Linked DNA regions of Struthio camelus. The protein of the gene in region 1 interacts with the protein of each later gene in a pairwise test. Links are inferred from orthologs where the notes say so. Each region holds a gene or a part of one and is shown on either strand. Other genes may lie near its edges.

Region 1 (6,847 bases):
GCTCCCTTTAACCATGTTGCAGTGAATGTGGTCTATCAAATGATTTCTAAAGAGCTTGAGGGGATCTTTAAAAGTTATTGGCAGTAAAATAGATGCTATAATTCCATGCCTTGATAAATTTGAGTGAAACCAGCGTTTGCAGATGATGGTGCTAGACGCTTTGCAGGGTGAAGTTTGCTCTGCTTACAAAATAGGTTTAGCGTGAGCAGCCGCAGTCCCAGCTTTGCCGATTTGGTCTGCGGACATGCAGTAGGCTAACCTGAAAGAAAAACCCTTCAGCCTCTGTGGCGGATTGAGCATTTGCTTCTTCTCCATTCCGCAGAGGGTCCAATAAATCCTAACTCCATTGGTATTTCTGCACGGTGGCTTTGCCACTGCGAAACAAATGCCAACCTCACTCTCTTACCAAGGGCCACCTTCTTCCTCAACGAGCTCCCACGGCAATGGCTTCCTGCCCAGACCAAGATGTGACTTCGTGCATGAGTAGCATTAAGGTAGACTGTCGAGGCAATCACCAAATGGTGAAAAGAGCCTGACGCTGTCCAGTGATAGTGCCAAATGAGCGACCTAGAAGAGTCACTCTTCAGAAGCTCTTCTCTACCCACCAGCTGGAACGTGCTTGCACTGGGCTTTTTCTCTCAGCATGATTGCAAACAACATAGGAATAAAATGTATAATCAGTTTCCATCATTTTAGCGGGTTTTAAAAGGGTCATTGTTTCTGTTTCATGATGACATTGTGTCTGTGACAAGTTGATCTTGATCTGAGAGTATACTTCAGCTATAACATCATACTATAATAGTATACCATTCTATGCAGTTGAGAGTTATGAATTACAATACTTCCGAAACCACTACAGTATAGTTTTGATATTTATTAGTAATGCAAAAGAAATAGAAATAAAAAAGGAACAGGAATACCTCAAACATCAAAATTCGTTGACTACAGTATATAAATGGGGAGTGAAAGCAAATTTTCTTCATCCTAAAATTGGAGTATTACATCCTGAAAATTCTGCTAGCGATGTGTAAAAGCTCTTTTGTTTTCACTTACCAAACAGTTATTTGTATTACACTACTCAATACAAACGAAACTGAAATAATTAGTTACAAAATACAGCTTCCAAACATGTAATGTCGTACACTTTTAACATGCTCAACAATAAGCGTGCACAAGTGTACAATAAATCCCCTCCAAATACATCAATCCCAGTATACTCATCAGGATGATACGCTCTCCTTCATATAATGTCGCATTTTCCAATGCACTGGCTTGGATCTATACAAATGATTAAAGTTATAGTTTACCAAAAAATGGACTATAAAAAGAAACGCTTTCATTGTTTAGCTGTACCACCAGAATTCCCACAGACGCACTAGTGAATCTTTCAGATCTATTGTTCCATTGTTCACACAGCTAGATATAATTTCTTTTTCATTTTGTGGTTTGTAGTGCAGTTTAGTGTAATGAGATTGTAACAGGCCTAGAAATCATTGCAATTAAATTATGATACTGTTTTCCTTTTCTAACCCTTGCCCTCAGAAGATAATGGCACCATAACAGCAACTAGAGACTTGAACGGATATCATTTTATGTCATACCACTGAGCCGATTTTCATAACGTGGTGAGCTGACAGGCTTCCCTGAGGTAACACCTTCACAACAAATTTCACTGGGGAATCAGTTTTAAGGTTTTAGATATTTTACCTTCCTTTAACAATGCTGTGCTCATAGCAGGTTTATGTTTGATTTTCTAAGTGGCTTTTAATTTCCCCTATCTGTAACGCAGCTGTATTGCTCCTTTTTGTCCTTTCTTCTGCTTTTCTAGGCACTGTAAACGTCATTGAGTCCTTACCTCTCTTACTTTTGTAGCATTAGGACTTTCTTGTAGATTATCTCATTGACAGTAAGTTTTTTACTGCAGAAATAAAACTTTTGGATATGCTTTTTCATTTAATCCATTTAGTATTGGAAACCGTACAGACATATATGGAAATTGTTTTGGCATGAAAATCGTACACCATGGCAAGGTTTCACAGAATTATTTACCAACATTTGGACATCTTCAGGAGGTATAGAGTAAGCTAACATTGACATCTTATGGACACCACACCAATAGCGTTAAATTTGTCTCTAGTAAATGGAGAATTAGCATATTAGAACACTTCTCAGGCTCAAAAAGAATAACTTAACCATGGCAAAAGTGTTTTAAAATGAAGAATCTTGTCAATTTGTGCTAAAACTAAGCTGCGCTTTCCTAGTATTGTAACATATCTGCCAAAAAACCTACGTCTGCCAAAAACCCTGTGTGTGTGTGTGTGTGTGTGTGTGTGTACATTTTCTTACAACAATATCATATTTTGGAAGAGTTTGATGGATTAGGCATGACAAGGTCATGAGAAAACCTAAGGGATCCGTGTGAATTTTAAAGAGCAGAAAGAATCAGGGCTCATTTAAAGCATTAAAAAAGCCTATTGTCCTTAGTACTTTTTAAAGTCATTTTCCCTTCTATGCTTTTTGTTTGTTTGTTTTATAATTAAGCTACTACAAACCTTCTCTCTTCTACAGCCTGCAGCTATAGCACGCAGTTGTTTCAGTCAGATACAAGCTAAGCACCATGAGGCTGGGCAGGCACTTGCATTGGCAGTCTCTTCAACTCTACCGACATTGGCACTGGCAACTCAGGAGGGAGCACTTTTCACTCTGCTTTAATGCGGAACTGATATCTCAGCCTAATATTATGGTGTATTTTTGTGTTAGCACTAGTCTGCTTTAGCAGTTGGTGAGAAGACTCGCATGTGCACAGCTCACGCCTGTGAGCGGATCCACACGACAACCGCCCTGCACAAAGCCCCGTAAAGGACTGAGAGCAGAAGACACACCTTGTTAAATGCTTTGGGATATTTCAAGGCGAAAGGTGCTATGGGGTGCAATACGTTATTTTCCTTGTGTCTCTAGAGGAGCTTGAAATAACAGTGGCTTTCACTCATTGCACACTGCAGCATCTCCAGCACAGAAATCGAAGCCAATGAGGTGTAACATAATTTCACAATGTTCCTAACCACAGTACCCTGGCATCAGCATGAATAGACGTTGTATCTGTACCTAGATAAATATTAAGAACAGTTCAAATTATTGTGCTCTCATGTATTAGAAAAGCGTACAGATGGTGGCAGTCTGCAAACTAAATAACTAAAACTATATAAAATTGTCACAACAAATTAGAAGACGTAGCCTTGCTTTTTAATTACCGCAAGAGACTATCAATTACAGTGTTATCCTGACAACGATGTCCTGTACCCAGCTGGAGTACCGCTGGCATCAGCGGAGGACGCAGGCCGCAGTCGCAGGCGGCCGGTTGCTCCGCTGGGAGCGAGAGGGGCTTTACCCAAAACAGCAATGAGCGCAGCGCCCGCGCAGCAAGGGGGGGCCGGGGCGGCTCTCGGGTCGCCCCCTAAAACGCTGCAGGACCTCTCGGCCCGGGGCTCGGAGGCGTTCCCACCCGTGACTGCACCGCTTATTTTCCCAGGGCAGTTTCATCCCCGAGGAGCAGCGATGTCGCTCCGGGTGTCAGCGCCACGCCGCCGCCGCCCGCCGGCGCGGACCCGGGCCGCCGCCCGCCCCGGCCCTCCGCCGCTCTCCGCCGCCCTCCGCGCCCCCTCTTCCCGCGCCATCCCGCCGCCCGGGCCGCGCCGGAGGGGAGGAGCCGCCGCGGGGCCGCGGGCGGAGGCTGGAGGCGGCGAGAGGGAGCCGCCGCCGCCGCCGCCCGCCTGGCCGCGCTGCGCGGCGCGGCGCGGTGCGGCCCGGCCCGGCCCCGCCCCCGCGGGCCTGCCCCCGGCCTGCGCGGCGGAGCGGGCGGGTCGCCATGGCAACTGAGTGAGGCAGGCAGCAGGCCGCCGGCCCCCGCCGCCGCCGCCGCCGCGCCTCAGTGTGTGGCAGAGCGGGAGCCAGGCAGCCGCCGCCGCCGCCGGGGCAGGCCGGGAGCGCCGCGGCAGGATGGAGGACGGCTTCTCCAGCTACAGCAGCCTCTACGACACCTCCTCGCTGCTCCATTTCTGCAACGGTAAGGCCGCCGCCGCGGCTGCCCGGGTGTCGGCGGCCGGGGCCTGCGGCGGCTCCCGGCGGCCGCACCCGGCCCGGCCCGGCCCGGCCCGGCCCGCTCGGGGGGAGGCGGAGGCGGAGGCCGAGGGGAGGGGAGGAAGCTGCGCCGCCCGCCCCCGCCGTGCAGCGGGAGACCCGCCGGCCTTGCGGGACCGGTGTCTCCCCTCGGGAACTTCTCGTGCGCCGGGTTCACGGGCATATGTGCGTGGTGTGTGGGTGTGTTTTACATATCCGTATTTGTGTATTCATTGTTATGTGTTCGTATTTACATGTACACGCGCGCGCGCACGCCCGTATGCATGTGTGTGTGTATCTGCCTCCGTGAGGAGCTGGTACCACCAGAAGCGCTCAGCCGCCGCTGTGCGTGTCTCTGCTGCATGGGTGACATCTGTCCCCCCGTCCGTCCGCCCGCCCGTCCTTCCGCCCGCCTGTCCCATACCCAGGCACAGGACGCGCTGCGGGGCTGGGTCGCGCCGCGGAGGCGCCCGGGCCCGCGGGGCGCCTGTGTGCTGCTGCCCCGCGCGCCGGGCCGCGGCCGGGGCAGGTGTCCCTGCTGGCTGCGCCTGCCCTGCCTTCCTTCCCTGGCGGGGAACCCACCCGAGGGGTTCTTGGGGTTAAAAACCCTCTTTGGCATTAAGATAGTTGGTCTATAGTTACTGTCTGGTTTTTTTTTGTTTTGTTTTTGTTTCAGTAGGGTTTATTCGGGTGGTGGTGTGATGGCAGTGTGAGAGGCAGGCTGGCTGGCGGTGGCACTGTGGAAAAGGAAGAAGGAAGTGAGGAGTCTGCCAGTATCATCAGAGGGAATATTTGCAGGCTTGCCTTGCAGAAGATGTAGAATTATTTAGCTAGCCCTTATTAGCTGATATGTGGGGGGGAAAGACATCCGGCATCCTAAAAATACAGAGTTCTTCAATACAAACTTTAGAATCAAAATGAGGTATTTTGGGATTTTTGCTTTTAGCAGCAACATTGTGAGCGTTTGTAATGTTTCATAAAAATGAATTCGTGCATCTCTTTTTCCTCCAGTTTTTAGTAGTGGTCCAGCTTTCCACTGCTATCTGAACAGCTGGAGTCAGGTTAATATTAAATTGCTTTATGACAGCAACTGCATCAACATAGCTGCCTCTCCTCTTGGAAAAAAAAAATGAAGATGATAAATTTTACATGATTTTCTTTGTGATGTGGGTTATGGTTAACAGAAAATTCAAATACTTGTGGACCTTGAGATTGTGGGAGTGATTTTTCAGAACAGGAGGAATACTGCGTGTGAGCTGTGCATTGTGGTGTGATGCAGTATTTTCAGAGCTCTTTGAAAAAGAAAACTATGACTATGCACGGGGGCTGTACACTAATACCAGATGCCTGTTTTGCCTAAACTTAACAAATATTTTACTGCAAGTACTTTTAAAAAGGAAACATGTAGCAATTTATTTCAAAGTTTATACTCTAATCAGTTTTTAAGCAAGCTGTCTTCCTACCAAAATCTTTAGGTTTTGCTTTTGCAGTATTCGTGATAGTAGTACGCATCTGGGAACAGTGGGAGTAACAACACTCTTTCTGAGTAGTTTGAATAAACAGAGTATCTTGTGTCTGAGAACTGTTACTTATCTTGATTTTTGTAAGTCTGAACACAGCATTATGCATGATGTAAAAGTGCAGTATATATTTATGTCGTACCTACATAGGTTCTAAAATCTTAGTTAATCCTTGAGTATTATGTTCTAGAATGTAGCACTGAAGAGATCGCTTGAGTAGTTAAGTCATGCAGTCATAGCTAGTAAGCTCGAGAGAATGTTGTGAACTTGTATTATTCTGTATTTATGAAAGAAAGTTGTTTGATTCAGAAGCCTTTCAAGAGTTAGCCTTCAGAGAGGCTAAATTGTATGAGATGAATAAGAAGAAGAGAATTGGGCCTTTGAATACTGCCTAGAGGTGATCAGATATCTCACACAGACACACATGACCCATGAGGAAAAAAGTACAGATGGGGGATACCAGTGAGGGTTTTGAGGTTGAAAGAGGAAAAGGAAATTGCTTTGCAGGGAGGTGGAAAGCTCTGGCAAGTATGATGGGCAGTATGAAAGATGGGATGAAGTTGTGGGGAGGGTAGGCATAGAGAAAGCAAGTGATTGTGATTTGAAGAGGAATGTGACTTCAGAATACTAATTTTTATATTTTAGTATTATAGGTGAGGACATAATGGAATTTTTAATTGTCTTGGAGTGAAGAAACAATAAATACAAATGCAAAGGCAAAAATGTCTGTATGTATTATATTTGAAATGATCAGGACGCAAAGCCTGCCCTCCTGTAAGAATTACTGCAGATAACCTATAGGCTGCACATGTGAAAACACAGGTTCAGGGCAGCAAGCAAGCTGTTAACTGGGCACAAGGACTGCTGCAGCTTCTCCTGTTTCTCTGTCCCTTCTCCTTGCGCTGGGCAGGTGGCAGCCGTGCGAGGGCAGAGGATGCTGGAAGGGACGGAGATGAGCCTGTTGGCGGGGGAAGGAAGAGGAAGTGTAGGGCAGAAGTGCGGGGACAAATTTACCCCAACCCTCCCTCTCTCTCTAGAAAGGACGGCGGATTCAGGAGGGGAATTTGAGTCATTTTTTTCCTTTTCTCTACTCCTTCATATGCAGGTATAGTCTGCATGATTTTTCCAGTAAAGGACTTTCATAGCTTATAATGCATGAAAACATGATGAATGGTGAAAGAAGGGAGAGAAGAAAGAGGTGAGGAAAACAT
Region 2 (7,930 bases), on another chromosome or scaffold:
CAAGAAGATCTTCGTGGAGCCCATCAGCAAGGAAGACTGGAAGGTGTTTCGGGGTGACACGGTGAGTCACCCAGCGGCGTCCGCCCGAGGCTCCTTGAGGAGGTGGCCCGAGCTGGGGCCCTTGGCTGGGAGCTGTCCCTGCCGCCTCTGACCTGCTCTTCTCGGTGCCAGGTCCAAGTCCTGACCGGGAAGGACGCAGGAAAGCAGGCGATGGTGACGCAGGTGGTGCGAGCCCGCAACTGGGTTGTTGTGGAAGGCTTGAATACGGTGAGGTTTGAACACGGGAGCACCCCCAGCGTAAGGCGAGGTCCCGGCTGCCGTACGCTCCATGCCCGGGCTCCATGCTCGTCCGGGCAGAGTGACGCCTGCGCGTTTTGGGGTGCCTGGGTGGGCACGGGGCTGCGCAGGGTGTCCATAACCACTGTCACCGTCCCCCAGCATTACCGCTACATCAACAGAATGGCCAAGTACCCTGCGACGTACATCGCCAGCGAAGCGCCCCTGCTGCTCAGCCAGATCTCCCTGGTGGACCCCGAAGACAGGTAACCACCGCGGCAGAGCCGTGACACCCTCCGTGCTGCGGGGCCGGGTGGGTGAGGGAGCCGTGGCTGCGTCCCGGCACAGATCTCCGCGCTCTCCCATGCCAGGAAGCCGACGGAGGTGGAGTGGCGGTACACGGAGGAGGGCGAGCGGGTCCGCGTCTCCCTGCGCAGCGGCCGGATCATCCCCACGCCCCTGCGACACCGCCGGGATGGCATCGTCCCCGAGCAGTGGATAGGTGAGGGGTGAGAGGGGGCTCGCGGCTCGGCATGATGCCGGCTCCCTCTCACCGAGGGACTCCGAGGCACTCAGCGCCGTCCCCTTCGCTGTGAGCAGACGGTCCGAAGGACACGTCTGTGGAAGACGCGCTGGACAAGACGTACGTGCCGTCCCTGAAGACCTTTGAGGAGGAGATCATGGATGCGATGGGCATCGTGGAGACGCGCAGGGCCAAGAAATCCTACTGGTATTAACAGCCCTGGTTGGGGACGGGAGGAAAAGCGAAACGCGCGCCGGGGCTGTGGTCTGGGCCCCTGGGCAGCAGCTTGCAATAAAAACATCCCTTCTTTTACACGGCTGCAGTATGCGGTGGTTTTGAGACCACTTCCAGCCAAGCTAGGAGAGGGCAGGAGTCCCAGGTATCCCAAGCCTGGTCCTCCTGCCCACAGCACTCAGCCCACGCTCCCTCCCTGTTCGCTCCGTCTGAGCCATGTGCTGTAGAAAACCAGCCTTTATTGTAACAAAGACGAGGTCCGAGCTGCACCTTGCAGCCCTTGTCCCCCACCAGCCTTCGCCTCCCCTCCCCGTGCACGCGGGAGGAGGGTGACGGCTTTTGGGGCATGGCGTTCCCCTGCAGTCCGAGCGGGTCACAGCGCTGCGAAATAACCTCGCGAGGCCGCGAGGGAGCCGGCGCAGGGCGCAAGCGCTCCCGTGGTGATGGGGACGGTGGCACGCCGAGGTGGGACGCGCCAGCGTCCCGCCTGCTGCGCTCCGGGGTGCGGTTCCAGACCCAAAACGGGGACGCTCGGCCTTTCCTGGCAGCTGTGGTGCAGCTCAGCCCTGGCTTTGCTCCTCCGTGGACGGCTCTGCCTGGGGGCAGCTTGGTGGTGATCCTCCCGGTGGGGCCACGTCCTCGTCGTCGCCGCTGTCCTCGTCGTCGCCGCTGTCCTCGTCGTCGCCGCTGTCCTCATCCAGGGCCGACAGCACCGGGCCCAGGGGGCACTTGGCAGCCACCAGCACCAGGTTGCGCGGGGAGAACCGAGGGTCAAAGAGGGGGATCAGGGCGCACTGGAAACCTGCGGGGAGAGGCAGGGTCGGTGGTGGCAGCACCCCTGCCCGCACCCTGCAGCCCCGGCACCCACCTTGCTCTCGCAGGTAGAGCAAGCGGTCGAGCAGGATGAGGGTCTCCACCAGCGGCGCCAGCAGCAGCGCCAGGCTGAAGAAGGCCACCACCCTCTGCCCCTGCCGCAGCATGGCCCGTACGGCCTCCGAGTCCAGCTGGAAGGCGGCCGGGTCAAGCCCCACGCGGGGCAGCCCCAGCTGGGCGTACCTGCGGGGACGAAGCGGGTCAAGCCGGGGCCGAATGGGCCCGTTTCGGGGCGGGAGGGAGGGAGGGATGCCCGCGCTCACTCGGGGAAGCTCAGCGCGTGCGCCTTGTTCACCGTCTGCACCGCCAGGCGCTTCTTGCTGGGGTCGGCCGCCCGGATGAGGGTCTCCAGCACGGCCCGGTAGCAGTGGGTCCGCAGGGCGCCGCTGTCGGCCCGCAGCCGCCCGGCGTAGTCCTCCAGCGCGTGGCAGGCCGCTTCGCGCGCCTTGTAGGAGAGCGCGTGGCCCGGCAGCCCCGCCACCCAGGCGCTCAGCGGGTAGCCGAGAGCCGGGGAGGTGGCGGGGGACGCCGGGCGGGTGGAGAGCTTCATGTAGCAGCAAGCCACCGAGGTCAGGGCGGCCACGTGGGGGCTGCGGGCGAAGTGGCGGAGCAAGGCCACGCTGAGGTCGCCGCAGGCGTGCAGCCCCGTGAGCAGCACCCGTTCGGGGCCCCGAGACCCCAACGGGTTCGGGGGGCCGGCGGGCGGTCCCGGCTCCGGGGGCAGCAGCTCGTCGAGCCACGGCGCTCGGGGGTCCAGGCGGCCGGCTACGTGGCGCGGTCCCCGCGGGAAGAGAGGCACCTGGGCGGCGGGTGGGTTACGGTGGGCGGTGGCGGGGAGCGGGGGGACGTTCGGGACGGACCCCGTCCCCGCTGCCGGCTCGCCCTCACCTGGGCGCCGCGCGCCTGGGCTTTCCGCAGCTCCCGCAGCAGCTCCCGGTCGAAACGCTCGGCCGCCTCGACCAGGCGGCCGTCACCCTCCACGGCGGTGACGGGCAAGCCGAGGCCGAAGGCCAGGAAGCGGGAGAGGTGGCCCTGCGAGTCGGGGGACGGACGCGGCGGTCGGCGACACCGCTGCTTCCGTCGTCACCGCGCCGCCGTCCCCGCCGCCTGGTCCTACCTGCCCCGAGCCCACGTCCACCACGCGGTCGCAGCCGGCGGCCTGGCTCAGCCGCTTCACCACCTGCGGCCGGGGGAGGAAGAGGAGGGTCGGGGGCCGCTCCACGGCCGGTGCCGCGGCCGCCGGCCGCTGCCCACCTGGCCCAGGCGCCGGATCTCGTGCTGCTTTTTGGGCTTGACGTGCTTGCGGAGCAGCGGGGGCAGCGCGGCGCTCTGGCAGGGCAGGCGGCGGCGATGGCGGCGGCGGTGGTGGTGGCGGGGGAAGGCCAGCGCCTGGGCCGTCGCCTTGAAGGCCAGCAGGGAGAGCGGCCAGACGGCGGTGACGGTGGTGGCGGCGGGCTGCAGCAGCGCGGCGGCCAGGCGCGGCGCCGGCACGTCGGCCAGCGCGGCCTGCCAGGAGGGCGGCAGCCGGGCCCACAGGTCCTCGGTGAAAAACTCCTGCGGGCGGCAGGGGCAGCGGTGAGGGGCGGCGGCGGCGGCGGCGGTGGCGGCGGCGGCGACGGGGACACTCACGATGACGTAGGCGTCGAGCAGGGGCCGGTAGAGCGCCAGGACGCGGACGATGCTGGCCGCCCGCTGCTGCTCCCGCCGCAGGGGCCCCGCCATGGCGGCTGCCCCTCGCCGCGGCCTCCCGGCGCGACCGTCACCTGGCGAGGCGATGGCAGGGGGCCGTGACGCAGCCCCCCTTGGCAAGGCCGTGACATCACGGGGGCCGCGACGTCACAGGCACCGTGACATCACAGGCGCCACGACGTCACAGAGGCCATGATATAACAGGCACTGTGACATCACAGGGGTCATGACATCACAGGGGGCATGACATCACAGGGGGCATGATATAACAGGCACTGTGACATCACAGGGGCCATGATGTCACAGAGGCCATGATGTCACAGAGGCTATGCTATAACAGGCATTGTGACATCACAGGCATCATGACATCACAGGGGCCATGATGTCACAGAGGCTATGCTATAACAGGCACTGTGACATCACAGACACCACGACATCACAGGGACCATGATATCACAGAGGCTATGCTATAACAGGCACTGTGACATCACAGACACCACGACATCACAGGGACCATGATATCACAGAGGCTATGCTATAACAGGCACTGTGACATCACAGACACCACGACATCACAGGGACCATGATATCACAGAGGCTATGCTATAACAGGCACTGTGACATCACAGGCACCACAACATCACAGGGGCCATGACATCACGGAGGCCATGATATAACAGGCACTGTGACATCACAGGGACTGTGACATCACAGGGACCATGATGTCACAGAGGCTATGATATAACAGGCACTGTGACATCACAGGCACCACAACATCACAGGGGCCATGACATCACAGAGGCCATGATATCACAGGGACCATGATATCATAGGCCCATGACATCACAGGGCTGATGGCATCACAGACACTGTGACATCACAGGGCCTATGACATCACAGGCACCATGATATCACAGGGCCCATGACGTCACAGGCATTGTGACATCACAGAGGCCATGATATCCCAGGGGCCATGACTCACAGGCACCATGGCATCACGCTGCAGCCCAAGCCACCCCCTCCTCCCCAAAGAGCTGTGACATCACGCCGGGGCCTGCCACCGCCACGACATCACCTGTGATGTCAGCAGCGCGGGTTGAGCCCCCTTCGTCACCCGGCCCTACCTCCCCCCAACCCGCCCGCCGGCGGGCTAGAGCGCCCCGCCACCCGCCGCGCCCGCTCACCACCTGGCCCCTCTATGGTTCCCGCCTCAGCGCTGCGCCTGCGCACCGCCCCCTCCCCGCGCGACACGCCGCGCGCTCTCTGAGCATGCGCCAACTGAGGTTGCTGCCGCGGGCGCAGGCGCAGGGCGGCACTTCCGCCCGGCGCGGGGCTCGCGCGCATGCGCGCGGGGGGGGGGTGGGGGGTTGGTTGTTGGGGGCAGCAGCGTGCGCGTCTCTCCGCGCCGGCTCGCGCGTGTTGCCCTCGGCCGGGAGAGGCCGCGGCGGCTTCCGCTTCCGGGTGGGCCCGCGGCGCCGGGGGGCGGGGGGTCTTTGGGGGGGGAGGGGAGGTCATTTTGGGGTGGGGAGGGGGCTGAGAGGGGGCGTGGGGGCCGGTCTGGGGGTGAGTCCTTGTGGGGGGGAGGGCCGGGTGGGCCCTGTAGGGGTTTGGGGGCCGGTTTTGAGGTGGTGGGTGCTGTGGGGGGTTGGGGGCCCGTTTTAGGGTGAGTCCTTTGGGAGGAGGGGGCCTCTTCTGGGGTGGGGAGGGCGGGGTGGGCGCTGTGGGGGGTTTGGGGGCCGGTTTTGGGGTGGTGGGCGCTGTGGGGGGTTGAGGGCTGGTTTTGGGGTGAGTCCTTTGGGGGAGGGGGCGCCTTTTGGGGTGGGGAGGGCGGGGTGGGCGCTGTGGGGGGTTTGGGGGCCGGTTTTGGGGTGGTGGGCGCTGTGGGGGGTTGAGAGCTGGTTTTGGGGTGAGTCCTTTGGGGGAGGGGGTGCCTTTTGGGGTGGGGAGGGCGGGATGGGTGCTGTGGGGGGCTTGGGGGCTGGTTTTAGGGTGAGTCCTTTGGGGGGGGCGAGGGAGGGTTGGGTGTTATGGGGGGTGAGGACCGGTTTTGGGGTGAGTCCTTTGGGGAGAGGGGGTCCCTTTTGGGTGGAGAGGGTGGGATGGGTGCTGTGGGGGGTTTGGGAGCCGGTTTTGGGGTGAGTGCTTTGGGGGGGGTTCTTTTTGGGGTGGAGAAAGCAGGGTGGGTACTGTGGGGGGTTTAGGGGCCAGTTTGGGGGTGAGTCCTTTGGGGGAGGGGGCCCATGTCAGGGTGGGGGGCCCTATCAGAGTGGGCAAGGGCATTTCGCCCTCCTGGAGGGATTTGCCGCGGAGCTGAGCGAGAAACATCCGTTTCTGGCGGTTTCCCCGGGCGCCTGCGGCGAGCTCAGAGGCGGCCTGGGGACGGGGATGCCGAGCTCCCGCTCTCTGTGCTGCAGGCAGGACCGGCTGCGAGGCCGGCGCGGGGATCCCCGCTCCTCCGCGTCCCCACGTGCACGTCCTCCCGCTGGAGCCCAGCCATGTCGGATTTGATCCTCAATGTGAGCTTTGGCCTCTCGGAGCCCTCCAAGAAGGGGTCGGCTGGCAACCGAAAGCACAAGAACTTTCTGAAACGGCGCCGGATCCTGGAGAGGAAGGGGGTGCTGAAGCAAAAGCAGCTGCCGCCGGCCCTGCAGCAGGCAGGGAAAGGCTCACAGAAGAAGTCGGGTTCCTGGGGCAGGAACGCCAAAAAACAGCAGGCTGCAGATGTGGCCAGGAGGGACAGGTCCAAAACATGCCCCAAAGTGAATAATCCCCAGCCCAGCCCAGCCGCGCAGAACAACTCCACGAGCTCCAAAAGGACAGGTTTTCCCCCAGAAACAAAGCAAGCTCTGTGTCCCTCAGTTAAGGGAAAGAAAAGTACCCCTCTCCTCCCCGCTGTGCCTAGCAAACTGGTGGCCATTGACTGTGAGATGGTGGGCACGGGGCCCGGCGGGCGCATCAGCGACCTGGCCCGGTGCAGCATCATCGGCTACGACGGCGACGTCATGTACGACCAGTACATCCGCCCGGCCAACCCCATCGTGGACTACCGCACCCGCTGGAGCGGCATCAAGCGTCATCACATGGTGAATGCCGTCCCGTTCAGCAAAGCCCAGCGAGAGGTGCGCTCCCAGGGGCGCCGAGCTGCGTGACGAGGGGTGGCACGGTCTGGGGTGGGGGGTCCTCCCCGTCTCATGGGGCTCTCGGGGCTGTTTGGAGGTCTGTGGGGCTGTGGGGGACTCGGCCGCTCAGGCGAGGGCTGCCTGCGCGCCCGTCTGCTGCGGATCTCACCTCTGCAGCAGAGGGAGCATCTCCGCGCGCTTCGGCTGCTCCCGTTCAGTCCCACGTCATAGCGCTGACCTCTTTGTGGCTTAAAGTAAGCGCGTGGGTTTCTCACTGGAGCTCCCAGTGCGTGGGGCCGGTGTCATGCTCTGCCGAGGAGCAGTGACTCCCCGCAGAGCGTGACCGAAGGTAAGGATCTCTTACACGGCCGCAGCGCAGCGTGTTGGGGTCTGGCAGGTCCCTCCGGTGCCTGTGTGATCCGGGCTGCGGCAGTTCTGCCATAACCCCCTGTTCTCCTTCCTTCTCAGATCCTGAAAATCCTCTCCGGGAAGATTGTGGTTGGCCACGCCATCTGCAACGACTTCAAGGCGCTCAAGTATTTCCACCCCAAATCGCTCACCCGGGACACGTCCAAAATCCCCTTGCTGAACCGTAAGGGCGGCTTTCCCGAGAACGTGTCGATCTCCCTGAAGCGCCTCGCCAAGCAGCTGCTGCACAAAGACATTCAGGTACCCGACGGTGGTGGCGGCGGCTACCGGGCCTGACGCTGGGGTGTCCCAGCTCACCCCGTGCCAGCCGGCTCCCCGCTCGCCCCGTGCTGGGAAGGTTCCTCCCCGATTTCAGTAGCCGCCACAGGGGGCCGCTGCGAAGCTTCTGCCGTAGCGAGAAACTCCCGAAACCTCCCTTGGAGAGCTGGGAGGAATGCTGTTGTGGGAGGGCAGGATCGAGCCTGTGCCACAGGGAGCAGCAAGGCCTGGCGGTGTCGCAGCAGGCAGGGGCACGACAGGAGTGCGGAAAGGTCCAGCCCTCTTTCTTTGCACTGGCTGGGCTGTAATCAGAGTGCTTGGAGGTGCTTTGCTTCCTGAGGAAGGTTCAGGGATTAACCTTCAGTCACTCCTGATGGTCCTGGGGCAAGGCAGGCCCCTGCCTTGTGCCTCAGTTTCCCCTTCCCTGAAAAGCAGCCCACGGGAGCAGGTGCAGTGATCCTGAGCCCCTCAGAGCAGCCCGCTATCAGGCAGGTTGAGTTGGTGAGGCTTTGCCCTGCTCTGCCTGTGT

What was found. The genes of interacting proteins can lie anywhere in the genome.
Region 2: the proteins of EML1 (region 1) and ISG20L2 interact in binary tests that used the Homo sapiens proteins (3 or more experiments, as listed by UniProt). The two-hybrid records come from large-scale screens. The link is inferred for Struthio camelus from reciprocal best matches to the Homo sapiens genes EML1 and ISG20L2.

The regions. Positions count from the first base shown.
Region 1 is NC_090946.1:69,918,871-69,925,717, forward strand, and holds the start of EML1 (echinoderm microtubule-associated protein-like 1), read left to right. Parts: upstream 1-3,830; 5' UTR 3,831-3,996; coding exon 3,997-4,063; intron 4,064-6,847. UniProt on the Homo sapiens protein: Modulates the assembly and organization of the microtubule cytoskeleton, and probably plays a role in regulating the orientation of the mitotic spindle and the orientation of the plane of cell division.
Region 2 is NC_090971.1:3,528,376-3,536,305, forward strand, and holds the start of ISG20L2 (interferon-stimulated 20 kDa exonuclease-like 2), read left to right. Parts: upstream 1-4,915; 5' UTR 4,916-5,056; intron 5,057-5,837; exon of another isoform or gene 5,838-6,009; 5' UTR 6,010-6,090; coding exon 6,091-6,714; intron 6,715-7,182; coding exon 7,183-7,383; intron 7,384-7,930. Other genes in the region: MRPL24 (large ribosomal subunit protein uL24m), read left to right, coding at 1-61, 172-267, 439-542, 648-778, 877-1,013; METTL25B (methyltransferase-like protein 25B), read right to left, coding at 1,594-2,089, 2,170-2,705, 2,795-2,938, 3,024-3,086, 3,161-3,460, 3,536-3,628. UniProt on the Homo sapiens protein: 3'-> 5'-exoribonuclease involved in ribosome biogenesis in the processing of the 12S pre-rRNA. Displays a strong specificity for a 3'-end containing a free hydroxyl group.